Linked DNA regions of Struthio camelus. The protein of the gene in region 1 purifies or fractionates together with the protein of each later gene. This does not show direct contact. Links are inferred from orthologs where the notes say so. Each region holds a gene or a part of one and is shown on either strand. Other genes may lie near its edges.

Evidence for each region. The genes of interacting proteins can lie anywhere in the genome.
Region 2: the proteins of DHX8 (region 1) and NKAP purify together in Homo sapiens (co-immunoprecipitation; 3 studies listed by BioGRID and IntAct, with this or other methods). This does not show direct contact. The link is inferred for Struthio camelus from reciprocal best matches to the Homo sapiens genes DHX8 and NKAP.

Annotation. Positions count from the first base shown.
Region 1 is NC_090966.1:8,061,355-8,068,882, forward strand, and holds the start of DHX8 (ATP-dependent RNA helicase DHX8), read left to right. Parts: upstream 1-3,162; 5' UTR 3,163-3,195; coding exon 3,196-3,307; intron 3,308-3,634; coding exon 3,635-3,720; intron 3,721-3,930; exon of another isoform or gene 3,931-4,015; coding exon of another isoform or gene 4,016-4,021; intron 4,022-4,345; coding exon 4,346-4,418; intron 4,419-4,837; coding exon 4,838-4,923; intron 4,924-5,496; exon of another isoform or gene 5,497-5,557; coding exon 5,558-5,667; intron 5,668-5,775; coding exon 5,776-6,087; intron 6,088-6,376; coding exon 6,377-6,521; intron 6,522-7,099; coding exon 7,100-7,303; intron 7,304-7,528.
Region 2 is NC_090952.1:11,961,855-11,969,382, forward strand, and holds the start of NKAP (NF-kappa-B-activating protein), read left to right. Parts: upstream 1-3,121; coding exon 3,122-3,462; intron 3,463-3,592; coding exon 3,593-3,673; intron 3,674-4,075; coding exon 4,076-4,149; intron 4,150-4,371; coding exon 4,372-4,491; intron 4,492-4,964; coding exon 4,965-5,010; intron 5,011-5,416; coding exon 5,417-5,532; intron 5,533-5,680; coding exon 5,681-5,756; intron 5,757-6,265; coding exon 6,266-6,415; intron 6,416-7,049; coding exon 7,050-7,224; 3' UTR 7,225-7,528. Other genes in the region: ZBTB33 (transcriptional regulator Kaiso), read right to left, coding at 2,809-2,836. UniProt on the Homo sapiens protein: Acts as a transcriptional repressor. Plays a role as a transcriptional corepressor of the Notch-mediated signaling required for T-cell development. Also involved in the TNF and IL-1 induced NF-kappa-B activation.

The DNA of each region.
Region 1 (7,528 bases):
AGTAGCAGCTGCTTGTAGCTAATCTCTTGTGATAGGCTTTGCAATGAGATGCTTGTGTTTGGAAGGGTCCCAGCTTGTCTGATTAAGGCAAGTTCCCAGAATCACATCTTCACTCTGTTCTCATAAGCCGCTCATCAGACCCAGAGTGGTGCAAGCCCTTGGTTTGCATGAGGAATTGGGGATTATTGGAGAAGTTTTTAACTGGGAAACAAATGAGTTTTGCGTTGCTGCTGCAGGGATTTCCTGCTTTCCAAAACAAGACTTTACTATGCCTTTAATGCTGATTCTGGAACTGCATGAGATTGCCTCTATCCCTTGCCCTAGACTAGCAGGTTCTGCTTTGCACCTGACGGTTCAGCGCCCAGCTAAACCAGTGCTAGTGAGCAAAAAAATCTCAGATTGGTGCTTGCTCAACATGTACAACTAAGAAGCACTGCAGAGGAGCTGTGCTAGGTACTGTTAACGTTTGAGATTCAAACTGTTTATTAGGAAATGTAATTTTTTTTTTCTAATGGTAATAACTTGCCACACAAGACATGACTAATTTTTCTGCCCCACCCTTGAGACCCATGCTGCTCAAATCCAGAGAGTTCCTTTACCTTCTCCTTTTCAGCAGCCTGATCTTTGCCTGTAATTCACTGTCTATGTTGACTCATAGCTTGGATTCTCACAGCTGCCTGTGCCAAGCTGAGCTCTGTTGAGCTGCTGCAAAGGTCTGTCTTTGGAACTGGAGTTCAAGGAGATCTGAAGTGTGGGTTTGGTGAGATGCACTAGCTGATAGTGCTGCCTTTGTGCCTGACTTCTATTTTTAATTGATGGCAAATTGCTAGAAACTGGGATACACGTTTTTGCTGTTTCGATTCAAAATCAATACAAACAATCAGCATTTTATTATTTCTCCTCCTGTTTCTAAGAGAACTTTTGTATTAAAATTCACTGTTTTATACCCTTATTACCTAACAAGACTCTTGTGACCCTGCTATTCCCATGTGTGAACTGGGAAACTTTCCTCCCTCTCTGGTGGAGGACTGTAGAAATCCATCAGCTGTCCATTCATATGGACAGAGGCTTGCAGAGTGCTGTGTGCTAGGAGATGCATAGCATTGTGGAAGTGACTAAGCCAGGGATTAGAGCTTTCAAGTAGCTCCTTTCCCCCTTAACCACAAGGCTGGGACTATGGGGAAGGAGCTGGAGAGGCAGCTGAAGAGATGGATGCAATCAAAGCTCATACAGCCCCAGGACTGTCACCTCTGCAGTGCTCCATGCACTCTGTTCTAAGTGGCAGGCTTTTGAAAACACTGATGGATCTCAGCCTGGCTGCTCCACAGTGCTCCGTGTCCGTTGCTGTCTAGCAGTCTCTCTTGGGCCCCCATTGTCTCTGTGCTCAGTCAACAGCAGGCACTTCCTTTTCAGCTTGTCACATAGGCTGACAGCATGAAGTCTTTGGTTCTTTTCTGTTTGCCAAAGCTTAATTACTAATAAATACCTGCCACGTGGTGGGCTTGTCACCCACATTCATCTGGAGTCCCTTACTTAATTGCTGTAATTTGCTGATGAATGCAGTTTGCAGTAGGGCTTTGAGTCTGCTATCGTTGTCTCATGTAGAACATTTCCTAGAGTATGGAAATTCACTCTCTATTTAGATTTTCCCAATAATCTTCTGCAAGTGCTGAGGAGGTACGCTAAGTGAATATGTGAGGTGAAATGTGTCTAGCACAGTAATTTAAAACTCAGCACATGATTTATTGTCTATAAACTGCTAGATTAATTAAGGTGGTAGTACTCAGCTCACATAAATTCCACTCTAATTCTGGCCTTTGAAAGAATAACATGCTATTGTTTCACCTAGCGTTCTAGAGGCTGGACATATTTTCCACTGTTAATGGGCCTAAGTTGCTAGCATGTACACACAATTTGGCTAGACTTATTTATGTTTGTGCACGCAGCATTTTTCACTTGCAGTCTGTGCACTGTTCTGCAGACCTGGAGACAAGGCTCAGACTTCCATCCTCACAAGGGACTGAGAGCCTGGGAGCAAGATTTAGAAGCTGATACTGTTAGTTGACAGGATTTCAAAGTTTCAGTACATAAATCAATTTTGTCTGCTGAATTACAAACTTGGTTTTGAATATAGAATATATTATGACATGTTAGTATGTTACAACCCTCTTATTTTGGGGTAATTTAATTAGTACATACCAGGAAGGAGGTTACTCTTCCAGAAATCCGGGTCAGAGGGGTCTGATGTGTCAGCCGGGCCAGAAGGACCAAGTTCACTCCAGAGCACAGGCAGCCCACTGATTACATCTGCAGCAGCCCAGCAGAGCAGAAAGTTAAAAATTTGGTGAAATGAGTCCAAATGAATCTAATACACAATGAATCTAAGTATATAAGTAAAAAAAAATATTGTGATAGCCAGGAATCCAGACTTAACTCACTGCTGAGACATTGCTCCAACGGTGCTGAGAAGACACTGTTGCTGGCATCAGAGCGTTTTGCTTCGTTCAATTTATGCTTATAATTCAAGAAATAGATATGCATATGAGGGTACTTAGCAGCTGGCTAATAATGATCTCATCCAGGCAGAACGTGTCTGTCTCGTCAAGAAAGCCCACCTTGGGGGCTGCGACGCGCCCCCACACACGGTGGGGAGTGGTGGATGGGTTACTTCGTTTGCTTGGCAAGATGCTGAGTATTTTACGAGCTGCCTCACTTTTGTTGCTAACCCTGCCTCCCGCGCTCCCCGTCTGTCCCTGCCACAGGACAATTTAATCACTGTACTGAGGCCGTCGCAACCGAGCGACATCAGAGCCGGTTCTGCTGCCACCTGTTTCAGGGCCGACGCGGAGGGGGGGGGGCTGGTCCTCCTCTCTGCTGCTCCACTCTCACGTCCATCCTCCCCCCCTTGTTGAGGCACGCGCTATTCCAGGGTTAACGCTCAGCAGACAACCGGACTGAGCCGACGGCCCCGCCGCCCCCGCGCCCCGCCGCCCGCTGCGGCCTCCCGCGAGGCACCGCGGCGCCTTCTCCCGCCTTCGCCCCCGTTGGCTCCCTCGCCCGCCACAACCACCAAGCCGGTGTTACAGACTCTCCCCCAGGAGGGCCGCTCTAGCACGGCGCACCTCTCTATGCTCGGCGCAGAGCTTCCGCCGCGTCCCGGATGCGGAAGTGGCGCCGTGAGGGGGCGGGGGAGTCATGGCGGACCCGGTGGCCCTGGAGGAGCTCGCCAAGCTCGAGTACTTGTCGCTGGTCTCCAAGGTGTGCACCGAGCTGGACAACCACCTCGGCATCAACGACAAGGACCTGGGTGAGCGGCCGGTGCCAGCCGGCAGCGGGGCGGCCCCGGGGGCGCGGAGAAGGGCCTGTCCCGGCGCGGCCGGCGGCCGGGGCCTGTTCTGCGAGCGGCTTCTCGGGTTGAGGAAAAAAGGGGACCTTCCCTCAGAAAGCTTGTCGCGAGCGCGAGAAAGTGCTTGGAGCTGGGCTCCCACGAAGGGGCTCGGAAAGGAAAGCGCTGCTGTGGGTGGATAGGTCTAGCAGAGCCCTGGGCTGCCGCCAGAACAGCTCTTACCAGAACGTGCGCCTACGCTGCCTTTGAATTATTTGCTCTGATTTCCTTTATACTTTTTCTTCACAGCCGAGTTTGTGATAAATCTTGCTGAGAAAAACACTACGTTTGACACATTTAAAGCTGTTCTTCTAAAGAATGGTGCTGAGTTCACTGTAAGTGAGAGCTAGACATTATTTGTACATTTTTGACCTGGCATATTTTATAGAGCCTTTTTTGTTTTAAAAGAGAGGTGTGGGTTTTTTTTTTTTTTGATTTTTTTTTTAAACTGGAAAACTATGCAAATATATAGCTTTTGAGTATACCTATCTGATCAAGCCTTCTCCTACCCCTCCTCCTCCTCCTCTTTCTGAACACTCATAGTCTTTGTGAAGCATCCTTCTGAGGCCTTACTTGAAGTGTTTATTGTCTGATTGCTGAGCATGTGAAATACAGAAGAAACACCTTGTCATGAAGGCAAGTGTTAGCAGAAGTCTTTCTATGATATTTAGATGCCATCTTCCTGTGTTCCTCAGCAATTACTGTAGTTGGATTAAGTAGGTGATTAGAAAAGTGATGAGTGGGAAAATCAGTTAAATGGAATTATCATAATCACTTTAAAATCCAAGTTATTATATTTGTTTTAGGCTGTACGTGAAGCTTTTTTTTTAAAAACAAAGCCTGCATTTTCAGCATTGAGCTTTTTTTGTCCTCCTAACAAACCCTCTCTTGAGCCCTATATTAATGAACAAAAGCATTGAAGTTGCTTATCAGAATAAAGTGTTTTCCTGAATTTTGCAGGATTCCCTTGTGAGTAATTTGCTACGTCTCATACAGACAATGCGGCCTCCATCAAAACCATCTACAAGCAAAGGTATAGATAATTTATCTCTCATCAGTTCAGTAGAAAAAAAAACTTGCCTTTTGTAGCTTTTGGCCATATTTGGTCAGATCAAAGTAGTTATTGTTCTAGTCCTGTAGGACAATACATATCCTATTGCTGTAATGGATTTCTCTCTGTTATTAGTGGTAGGCTTGCAAAGCTGTTGTGGCACTGAAAACATGTTGAGTACAGTATTTAGAGCATTTATGTTTTTCACAGGTTTGCTATTAATCATAATATCATTTATAGAAAGATAACATTGTAATTTTTGAATTTAATCTGTGACAGCTGTGTTAATCTTTGCATTCAGATGAAAATTAAACTTTATATTCAGCTTCACAAATGTCAAGGGCAAATCCTTATAGCACTTCTAAGGTTTTTGTGTGTGTCTGTTTTAATCTCAAAATCAGAGGCAGCTGTCAAACCCAAATCAGAGAAAGAAAAGTTGAAGGAATTGTTTCCAGCCCTTTGCAGGCCAGACAACCCCAACATCAGGGTAAGGTCATAATTTCAGATTTCTCTCATGAGTGTATGGAAACATAACACTTATTTTCTGCAGTTGTTCTCTAGTTTCAAGTTGTATTCATGTTAGCATTTGTATCTCCTGCTAATGCATGAATAAAAATGGACCATGAGAAATGAAACCCAGAAGAAGCAGAAGGCTGATATTATTGGATGTAGTTATCAGGAACTGCTGTTACAGGAATTGCCACATTGATGCTATTTTGCAGGATATTTGAAAGATGAGGCTCCTGTGATGTGAAATTTGTAGCCTGGCCTTTCTGACATAATGTTTAGAGCAACTAATCATGAACTAGATGAAAATCTTGGACATTAAAATGATACCAGGAATTTGTATTTTGTATTTCGGTAATAATTTGGATGTTGAGATAAAACTCTTCTTTTTGTAAAAGCGGAATTGGCACAATATTATGGCAAAATGGGAGGAAGCATTTTTTTTTTTTTTTTAATAATATCATTTCTTCTTTCTATATCATGTATTCTGTCTGATCTTTCTTTATCCTATATTAATTCTAAACAGAAATGCACATGATTATTCTTTGTGTAGGTTAATTCTTTGTGACAGACTCTTATCAGCCTTCCTACAGAATGGTTCTCTGTCCTTGCAGAATATGTTGGATGAAGATGATGTGAAAGTGGCAGCTGATGCACTTAAAGAACTTGAAGCTCTAATGCCTAGTGCCGACAGGCAAGGCAAGCAAAGGAACAGTGACCACCGGTAGGTTTTTAGTATGTCTTTAGGGGATGGGTACAGGCAGTTCATATTGTCTACCCACTGTGTTCTTATGCAGAATTTCGGTGTAGACGTCTAATGTTTGTTTGATAGGGCGAAAAAAAAGAGGAAGAGCCGAAGCCGCAGCAGGGACAGGAAGCGAAGACGCAGGTCTCGTTCTAGGTCTCGTTCTAGGACTTGGGACAAGAACAGGGGGAAATCCAGATACCGCTCAAGGAGCAGGAGTCAGAGTCCCAGCAGGGACCGTAAGGATCGAGAGAAATATGTCGAGAAGAGCAATGATAGATGGAGAGACAAACATGTGGACCGTCCACCACCTGAAGAGCCTTCCATTGGCGACATTTACAATGGCAAAGTGACAAGTATAATGCAGTTTGGATGCTTTGTGCAGCTGGAAGGACTAAGGTACCTTCTGATCTTCACCTTCATCTTATTCCATCTGTGTTCTGCTCTCTGCTAATATCTTAAAGAGTGTAGGATGCTACTATAAAGTAAGCTGAGTTTTGATGCTAAAATTAAGTTCTATTTCACAAAAATAAATTTGACAGTGGAGAATGCTTTCTTCAAAAAAAGCAGTTTATGAACATACACAAAAATTGGTTGACAGCAAAATATTTTAAACCAGACTCTGAAGGATGTTAGAAGCTGTTTGAATAATAATATCCAACATCTCATGCCCCTATTTCACCTGTAGGAAGCGCTGGGAGGGCTTGGTCCACATCTCTGAGCTTCGAAGAGAAGGACGGGTTGCCAACGTTGCTGATGTTGTGAGCAAAGGACAAAGAGTAAAAGTCAAAGTGTTATCTTTTACTGGATCCAAAACCAGCCTGAGCATGAAGGTATGGAAGATAGTCCATAGTCCTTAAAAGAGAGTTCATGTGGTGCCTAACCTTTTATAAAGATTACATCTATTTTTGCCTTGTGTAATACTGAAAACTAATACATAACCCTTCAAATGAGAGTTAAAACATTTAAGTTATATTTCTGTTTTTAAGTGGCTTATTACTTTTCACTCGTTTTCCTTAGTGGTTTGTTTGTTTGTTGAACCAAATGAAGTGGTTGATTTGACATGTTAGCCAGGTGATAAGACAGACCTTATGCTGTTTTTATGCTTGATTTCCTTTTTCTGAACTAGAGAATCATTTAATTTTAAATGAAACAGTGCCATTGCCAAGGCAGATTATATTCCAGACCTTGGGATGTACACTCACCTCTGGAGACTTTTTTTTTTTTTTTTTTTTTTAAAACAACTGGTATGCAAACTCTCATTTTCTGTATATGGGCTGTGTTTGACAGTAACCTGTCTGAGAAATGAACTGCGCTTTTACTCCTGTGTTAGAGGAAGTACCAGGCAGGGTTAATAGATAAGGAGAAGTGCAATATAGGTAGAGCTGACTGATTAATCAATCTAATGTAGGATGTTGATCAAGACACTGGGGAAGACTTGAACCCAAATCGGAGGAGAAATCTGATTGGAGAAACCAATGAAGAAACCTCTATGAGGAACCCAGACAGACCCAGTCACCTTTCCCTGGTGAATGCTCCAGAGGTGGAGGACGATACCCTTGAAAGGAAACGCCTCACCCGCATTTCAGACCCAGAGAAATGGGAAATAAAACAGGTATGTTTTGCATTGAGTCAAATGGGGTGCCAGTCAGTATAATTGCTAGTGAGTTTCATGAACTAAGCTACAGCTCCTAGTTTGTTTGTTTAACTTATTCCTTATCTCTGAATCACTGCTTTCTTGCTATCTGGGGCTTCTAGCTTTGTTCTAACTTTGAAGCTAGCCCTGCTTTGAGGAGGAGGTTGAACTAGATAACCTCTGGTCACTTCCAGCCTAAATTAT
Region 2 (7,528 bases), on another chromosome or scaffold:
TCCTACTCCTGAAGCATTATCAGCTCTCAAAAATCAGGTTCAGACTGCTTTACGTTAGGCACAAAATCGCTGGCCAAATTAAGGGATGCTGGCCTAGCTGTGAGAGCTGCACCACCTCCTCCTTGACTTTTACCTTTTTGCTGGAGCTTCTCACTGTGGCAGCTTTATATTTCAGATATAAAATCAAAACATCACTGTCATCTTGCTATGATCAGGACAGAGTTAACGCTCTGGCTAACTTGAAAAATTTTACTGAAAATGCCACTCATTATTCCTCCTGCACCTGACTGCAGAATTTCAGCGTGAACATTTTTTGTCTGGACTGTAGCTCTTGATTTTGTTTTTTCCGTCTTTTATTTTTACATAGGCCCCAGAAAGTGGGGATTTGGTTCATATGAAAACTCATACAGTGACTGATTAAATGAACCATTGGCTCTGAGACAGTGATAATAAAGCAGGCTTGAACATAGAACTAAACATGGTGTTCTTGGAAATTAAAAAGTAAATAAAAGATACAACAGGAACTTTTATTTTGATGCATAGAAGTGATTCAAGGAAACTCTGGGATGCGAGCTCTGAAAATATAAAGTAAAAATTTAAAGAAGCAGTGTGTAAGTTTTTGTGGGGAGAAGACAAAAAAAGTGACTCAGCAACAAGTTTACAGTTCAGCAATTTGAAGAGCTCTTTCCTTTTTTTTTTTTTTTAAAAAGACATTTTATGGGAACAGAAAATTCTTTTAAAGACTTTACAGATCTGAGAGAGGAAGAAATGTTCTCAGTCTTGACAAAATGTATTTTATTTTACAATAAAATACACCACTTTTTTTTTCCACTTAGGAAAGGGGCCCTCAGTAACAATCAAAATTCAACAGTTATCTTGCCTAAAACTACTAGGCACAGAAATATTATTCGATAGTGGAAAGCTTAAAACAGCACTGCTTCTGAAGGACTCTAAAATATTAATTTCCACCATTCATGCCTTGACATATTTTCAGACAGTGTTTTTCTTGTCAGTTCCATTACATAAAGCCTGATATAACTGAATTTAAATGCCAGTGAAGCTTTTTCTGACATTTGTAGTTGACATGGATGCTGTTACATGCTGTATATATATGAATTGTATAACTTGTGTATAAAAGTGCTTCAGAGCACTTCACAGAATTAACTAGTGAAGGCTCAGAAAGCTCCTGAAAGGCGGGCATTTTAGCCAGGGTTTGCCAGCACAGATGCTGGGGTGCAGAGGTGAGCGGCCGTACTGCCCGGGCTGCCTCGGCGCCTCCCGCGGCAGAGGGCCAGCCGTGCTGAGGCGGCAGCGGTGGGGGCCTTCGCAGCCCCCGGCCCGCCCGTGTCCCAGCCGGGCTGGGTCAGCACCTCGGTGGCAGCGCACAGCTGAGCTGCCTTGGGGCCAAATCTGTGGTCTGGGCACACTGCTGGGTGCAAGCGCGCTCGGGCTAGCGCGAGCCCAGCAGCGGGGGCACGGAGGAGCCTAGGGTGGCTGGTGCACTCCATGCCCCCAAAGCACTCCCGGGCTGCACTGACTCAGCGCGTGGACGGGTCCCTCCACCACACGTTTGGCCCATCAGCTTCCATCTGGCTCATCAGTTGGTGACATGACCTCATGTAACCAATGCCAGGAGCACATGGCGGCCTGGACTTCTTCCTAGGGACGCGAGACTTCACATACCACGGGGGCACACGCGCTCGGGCTGCCTGCGAGGCTAGCATGGGCACAAGGAGCTATGTCTGGGGAACACCCTGGGTCTCAGGTTCCTCCTCGGACCTCACACGGGAGGCGCAGGGAGACAGTCACCGAGCCTGAATTCATGCAGTACAGATTCAGCTGGCAGAAGCACAGCCACTGCAGACTTCCATCTGTCTCATTCAAATGACCCTACCACCGATCAAAACAACACCCTTTTAAGAGATAACCTTATCTAATTTAGTTAGAGATTAGCAACGAACTCCGGGCAAGCACTGCTCCCTGCTATTGTAAATGCAAACAAACCCCACCTTACAGAGATACCAAGCTGTCCTCAGACTGACACAGGATGCATGTGGATATGCAAACCTCTGGTGACATCTTCTCTGTCCCCGTTCTGCATGTGGCTGCATGCACTCAAGCTAATACACAATTTAAATAGACTTCCTGGTACTTGCAGATATTTTAATGCTGCCTATGGCAGCTTTGGGAACTGAAATATGGTTTCGTTTCTGAAAAAAAGACTGACATCCTCGTGCATCTTTCATGAACTACGTGGAAGAGCACAGGCTGGATGAGCAGCCTGAAACGCCCCTGGCGAGAGCCGAGCAACGTTATGCCGCCATTCCCTAGGCACAGCAGAAACTTGTTACCTCACTAGCGGGATTTTTTTTCTAAAGAAAGCACCACTGAAAGGTGTCCAAACATGGCACCCCGAGGGGAAAGGACGCTCCTTAGGTGGCTTAACACCTAAACACCCTTAACACATACAACGTACAATTTGTATAACTTTCCCCCCACATCACTGCCATTTCAGGTGCTCCTGCGTTGCCGCTACCACGGCCAAGGGCGGGCGGCAGCAGAGCCGCTTCCCAGGGCAGGGAGGGCACGTCGGGGCTGCCAGGGGCTGCGTGCCCGCCGCCGGGGCCGGGGCCGGGGCCGGGGCCGCGCCGTGAGCTGTCCGCCGGGCAGTGCTGCTGCCCGCCGCCCTGGACAGCTCCCGGCCCCGCCGGGCCGCCGCCCGGTGCCCGCCGAGCGCAGCAGCGCCGGCCAGACCCCCCCGCCGCCCCCTCGGGCGCACGGCCGCGGCCCCCCGCGCGGCGCCGTTACCTGGCACGGCCTCCGCCCGCTCCTCCATGCCGCCGGGGCGGCCCGGGGGGGCACCAGCCGGCCGCGCCGCCGGCAGCGCGCAGGGGCCGCCGCCGGGAACGCGGCGCCGCGGCGCCTTGTTGCCACCCGGGCGGGCTGGCGCGGGGCGCTGCGCCGCCGGCGCTGCCGCTTCCGCTGCGGCCGCACGGCCTCGGCCCGGCCAGGCGGCCCTGGCCCCGCCCCTCCGGCCCCGCCCCGGCCCGGCCCCGCCCCCGCGGGGAAGGGGCGGGCGGGGCGGCGGAAGCCGGAAGCGGCCGGAGCCGCGGGCGCCGCCATGGCGCCGGTGTCGCGCTCCCGCAGCCCGTCCCACTCGCCGGCCTCCCGGCGCCGCCGCAGCGGCAGCCGCGGCTCCTCGGCCAGCCCGTCGCTGCCGCGGGCGAGCCGGGCGCCGCGGGCCGCCAGCCCCGAGCGGCGCGGCCGCCGCTCCCGCGAGCGCGGCGGCGGCCTGAAGCGGTCGGGCCCGCGGCGGAGCCGCAGCTGGTCCCGGTCGCGGTCCCGCACCCCCGGCGGGGCGCGCGCCGCCGCGCACCACGGGCACGGGCACCACCACGGGCACGGCGGCGCGGCCTGGCCCGACTACTACGAGAAGGAGAAGGAGGAGCTCGCGCGGCAGAGGCGAGCGCTGGGGCCGGGCGGGGCCGCCGCGGCCCGGCCGCCCCCGGGGGGCCCGCGGGCGCCAGCCGGCTGCCGCGGCCGCCTCCGGCCGGAGCCCGCCCGGCCTCAGCGCGGCTGTTTTCCTTTGCAGGAGGCTGAACGAGAGGGAGAGGATCGGAGAGCTCGGGGCGCCCGAAGTCTGGGGGCTTTCCCCAAAGGTGCCTGACCCCGAGTAAGGAGCTGTCTTTGCTCTTCCCCTCCCGCCTCTGCGCTACTGATTGCCCGCTAAGTTACCTTACAGCCTCGTCCCTGCGCTTCTCCCTTCTCCGCGATTCGTGTCGCGTCAGAAGCTCCTTTCTGACTTGGCCTAGCCGGGTCGTGACTTTTCCCAAATAACTCCAACGTGTCCACTCTGTAAGACTTCGGTATGTTGTCGGTCAGGTGAACTCCCCCTTGTGCTGCCGTTCTCAAAGCAGTTCTCATGCTGCAGATTAGCTGTTTAATAGATTTGTTCACTGCCAATATTGGCTGAAAATGTGCCAGCATGTGTCTGGTCAGTTGTGTATATTTGATCTTGAATTGCTAAATATTGCAAAATAGATTTTTGAATAATAAACTTCTTATTTTTACTCAGTTCTGATGAACATACTCCTGTAGAAGATGAAGAGGCAAAATCTAAGAGCAGTTCTTCAGATTCCAGCTCAGAAGGTATTTTGCTCTGCTTGTACAACTTGTTTCAGAACTTGGAGGTCACCTAAGACTACAGCCTGCTGTTGTGGCTTGTAAGAGGTTAACTGACTTTGCGAGGATGAAGTGAGCGTGACGGGCTCCAGTTCAAATGAGAACGTTGCCACAGTAAGATCCTGAAATACATACGGAGCTAGGTCGTCTCCCTCTGTTCCCTAACATTGTCTTTTGAAAACATTCTAGAAGAGAAAAAGAAAAAGAAGAAGAAAAGAAAGAAGAAAAAGCAAAAGGCATCCAAAAGAAAACGGAGGAAACATTCTGAGGACAGCGACAGTGAGTCAGAGTCAGACTTGGACTCTAGTGGTAAGAAAAGGCAGTTTCTGTTAATCTGCGTGGTCTGAGAGCTGTCCTTGTGCTCCTCAGAACGCAAAGCAAGGCTTCCAGCTTCTGCTGCTCTGAAACTACAGAGCTGCCGCATCAGCCCTACGCGCTTTTCTTTCACTGTCTTGTTGGATTTGCAATGCCTTTTTCTTGATGAGCGCTTGCGGTTCTTACATCAGGAAATAGGATCTCTGAATTTAACATCTGTTAGGTGTCTCATGCCAGATGGCTCGTTGAGTATATCGAGCAATAATGCGGGTAGCTGTCTGCTGATATATTTTTTTTTTTTCCCCATGATATTTGGCACCGAAGCAAATCATGTTTGAGAACCTCTACTTAAAGCATTCTGGTGGAGGCAGTGTTATTTATTCACAGTGCAATAAATCAATTATTTTTCTAGTTCAGATCAGTCTGACCTGATCTCTTTTTAGTGATTTATACTTCTAATTTTTCAGATGAAGATAAAAAGAAAAGCAAAAGGAAGAAAAAGAAGCACAGAAAGTAAGTTTCTAAAATGTTATGTATAATTGTACCTGCTTTTCACTAGAGGGCAGCACCACCCTCTTCGCAGGCAATGAGGAGGACTGCACCCTCTTGTAATTAAGACTATAAATCCTATTGAACAATCTTAATGTGATGCATTGGCTTTAAATGTACAGAACCCTGGATCAAAGAGGATTCATGGGAAACCTGAAAGCTTCTAACACTATATGAAAAGCATAATAGTGGATTTATTGTTTTTGTTTTGCTATATTTCCTATCAAAGGACAGCAACCTATAGCTATATAATCAGCCCTTCCCTAGGTGGGAGTTGCCTTGAGAAACTAATCAGTTGAGCTTGATTCCTAGTGCTTGCATTCCTCTTAAATTTTGGTGAGCAGCATGTCTGTCTTTGACTTTATCACAGAAAGAAGTATAAGAAAAAGAAAAATAAAAAGAGCAGGAAGGAATCCAGTGATTCAAGTAGTGAAGATTCTGATGGTGAAACATTTCAAGGAGAAGATCTCTGGATTGAGAGATCAAGTAGGTTCATGTGACTTTAAAACTTGGATTAAAAGACCTCAATGTTGTTTTCATTAGTTTATTTGCTAGGTGTTGCTGACTTGTGTAACTAATCTGATAACAAAGAATAATGGGCACAATATTAATCTTCGCTATTTGCTTATTGCAGAAAATACGGAAGCTGATAGCCTCATTGGACCAGAAGCTCCCAAAACACATGCGTCTCAAGATGACAGACCTCTTAAGTGAGTAGCCAACTCTGGTATTACTTAGATCAAGTCAGGTAAATCAAACATGAAGACTTCTGTCCAAAGGGACTGTTATAATAACGTAACGTGTAACAGAGAGAGAGAGATGCTGTACCAGAAGCCTAAGGACAGAGGTGGGAGTGATGCTGGTCTTTACCCTGACCTGAACTGAGGTAGAAGAGTATGTTTTACACATTTTAGCCTTGATTTTTAGATAAATTAATTGCTCTTTTCTCCAGTGAGGTGTTCATGATGCACTTTATTCTAATGCTCTCCATATGGTAACTTTATGCAGCCTTCATACTGTTAAGAAGTTTGATCAAACCAGTAGTTTAAGCTGTTGTTGCTACGGGTTGCCAGAGAGAAGAAACAAGCCAGTTTGTGGGAAAGAGTTGGGAAGTGCTTAAAAGTGTGGCTGCAGCAAGTAACGAACAGGGAAGCTAGATGCTGTAGCTCAGGCTTTCTCTCTCTGTTTGAGACTGATTAAAATCCCTGCTTTTTTTAAGCTATGGACATGCCCTGCTGCCTGGTGAAGGCGCAGCAATGGCAGAGTATGTAAAAGCGGGAAAACGTATACCACGGAGAGGTGAAATCGGCTTGACCAGTGAAGAGATTGCATCGTTCGAGAGCTCTGGCTATGTAATGAGCGGTAGCAGGTATGGCTTTGATGATGGTAATGGTTCAGTGAAGTTTGCAAGAGCTGCTTCCTCTGTTGGCCAGTGGAAAAACTGATTCCAAACACTAGCTGAAAGCACAGGAAAAAAAGGTGCTCTGTGTGTCTGCAATAATCTGTGCTAAGCTCCCTGTTGCTACATATATACCGTGAGTTTGTTAAGGTATTTTCTCCTCAAGAGTAAAAAAATATTTCCAGCTAACCCACTTCTAATTATGTTGTACGTGCAGAGAAATGATGCTTGAGTCAGATGGCTCAAAGCCTGTGTCTTTGGTAACATGCTCGCTCTTCAGTAAGACAAATGAAAATGCCAGAGGTTGGCCATGCTTTTTCGATATCAGTACAGCTGGAGTTTCACGTACGTTTTGGAGAGCCAACAGTTGGTTCCCTGGGGGCAGGAGGGACTCCCTCCTTGCTGCCTGAGGGCAGACACCTCAGAAATCAGCTTCTAAGTGCCATGCTCCTTCCTCAGGAGGTTTGTGTGCAGTTTGGATTCTCTGGTCTAGCTGTCTTCCTTATTTATAAGCGGAACACATTCGGGTCAGCGGATGGATTGACGCAGAGGGAGCCTTGCATCCCTCTGCCTGTGCTGATGAACACAATGTTCTCCTCCACAGACATCGCCGAATGGAAGCTGTGCGTCTACGAAAAGAGAACCAGATTTACAGCGCAGATGAAAAGAGAGCTCTGGCATCCTTCAACCAGGAGGAGAGAAGGAAACGAGAGAATAAGATCCTTGCAAGCTTTCGAGAGATGGTCTACAGGAAGACTAAGGGCAAAGAAGACAAATAATTATTTTTTGAACTATACAGCGTGGATTCTAGCAAGCAGCAGCTTGCTGTTCCAGTCATGATTTGAAAATAGCTGCAAGTGCTGCAGTGCTTTTCACCCGGTGAGGGCAAGCCTCAGGAGTGGATTACTTGTACCAAGGAAACACGGTTATCTTTATCAGATTTTCTTGAATGGTTTGTTCACCATCTGCAGGGAATTGCTGTGAAGTGGAAGGCTACGAGGGTCAGGAACAGGCAGGGAAGGTTTAAGGTGGGAATGTTCTGTATTTGCTTTGAGTTGGACATGCAGAAGGATTCGTGGGAGG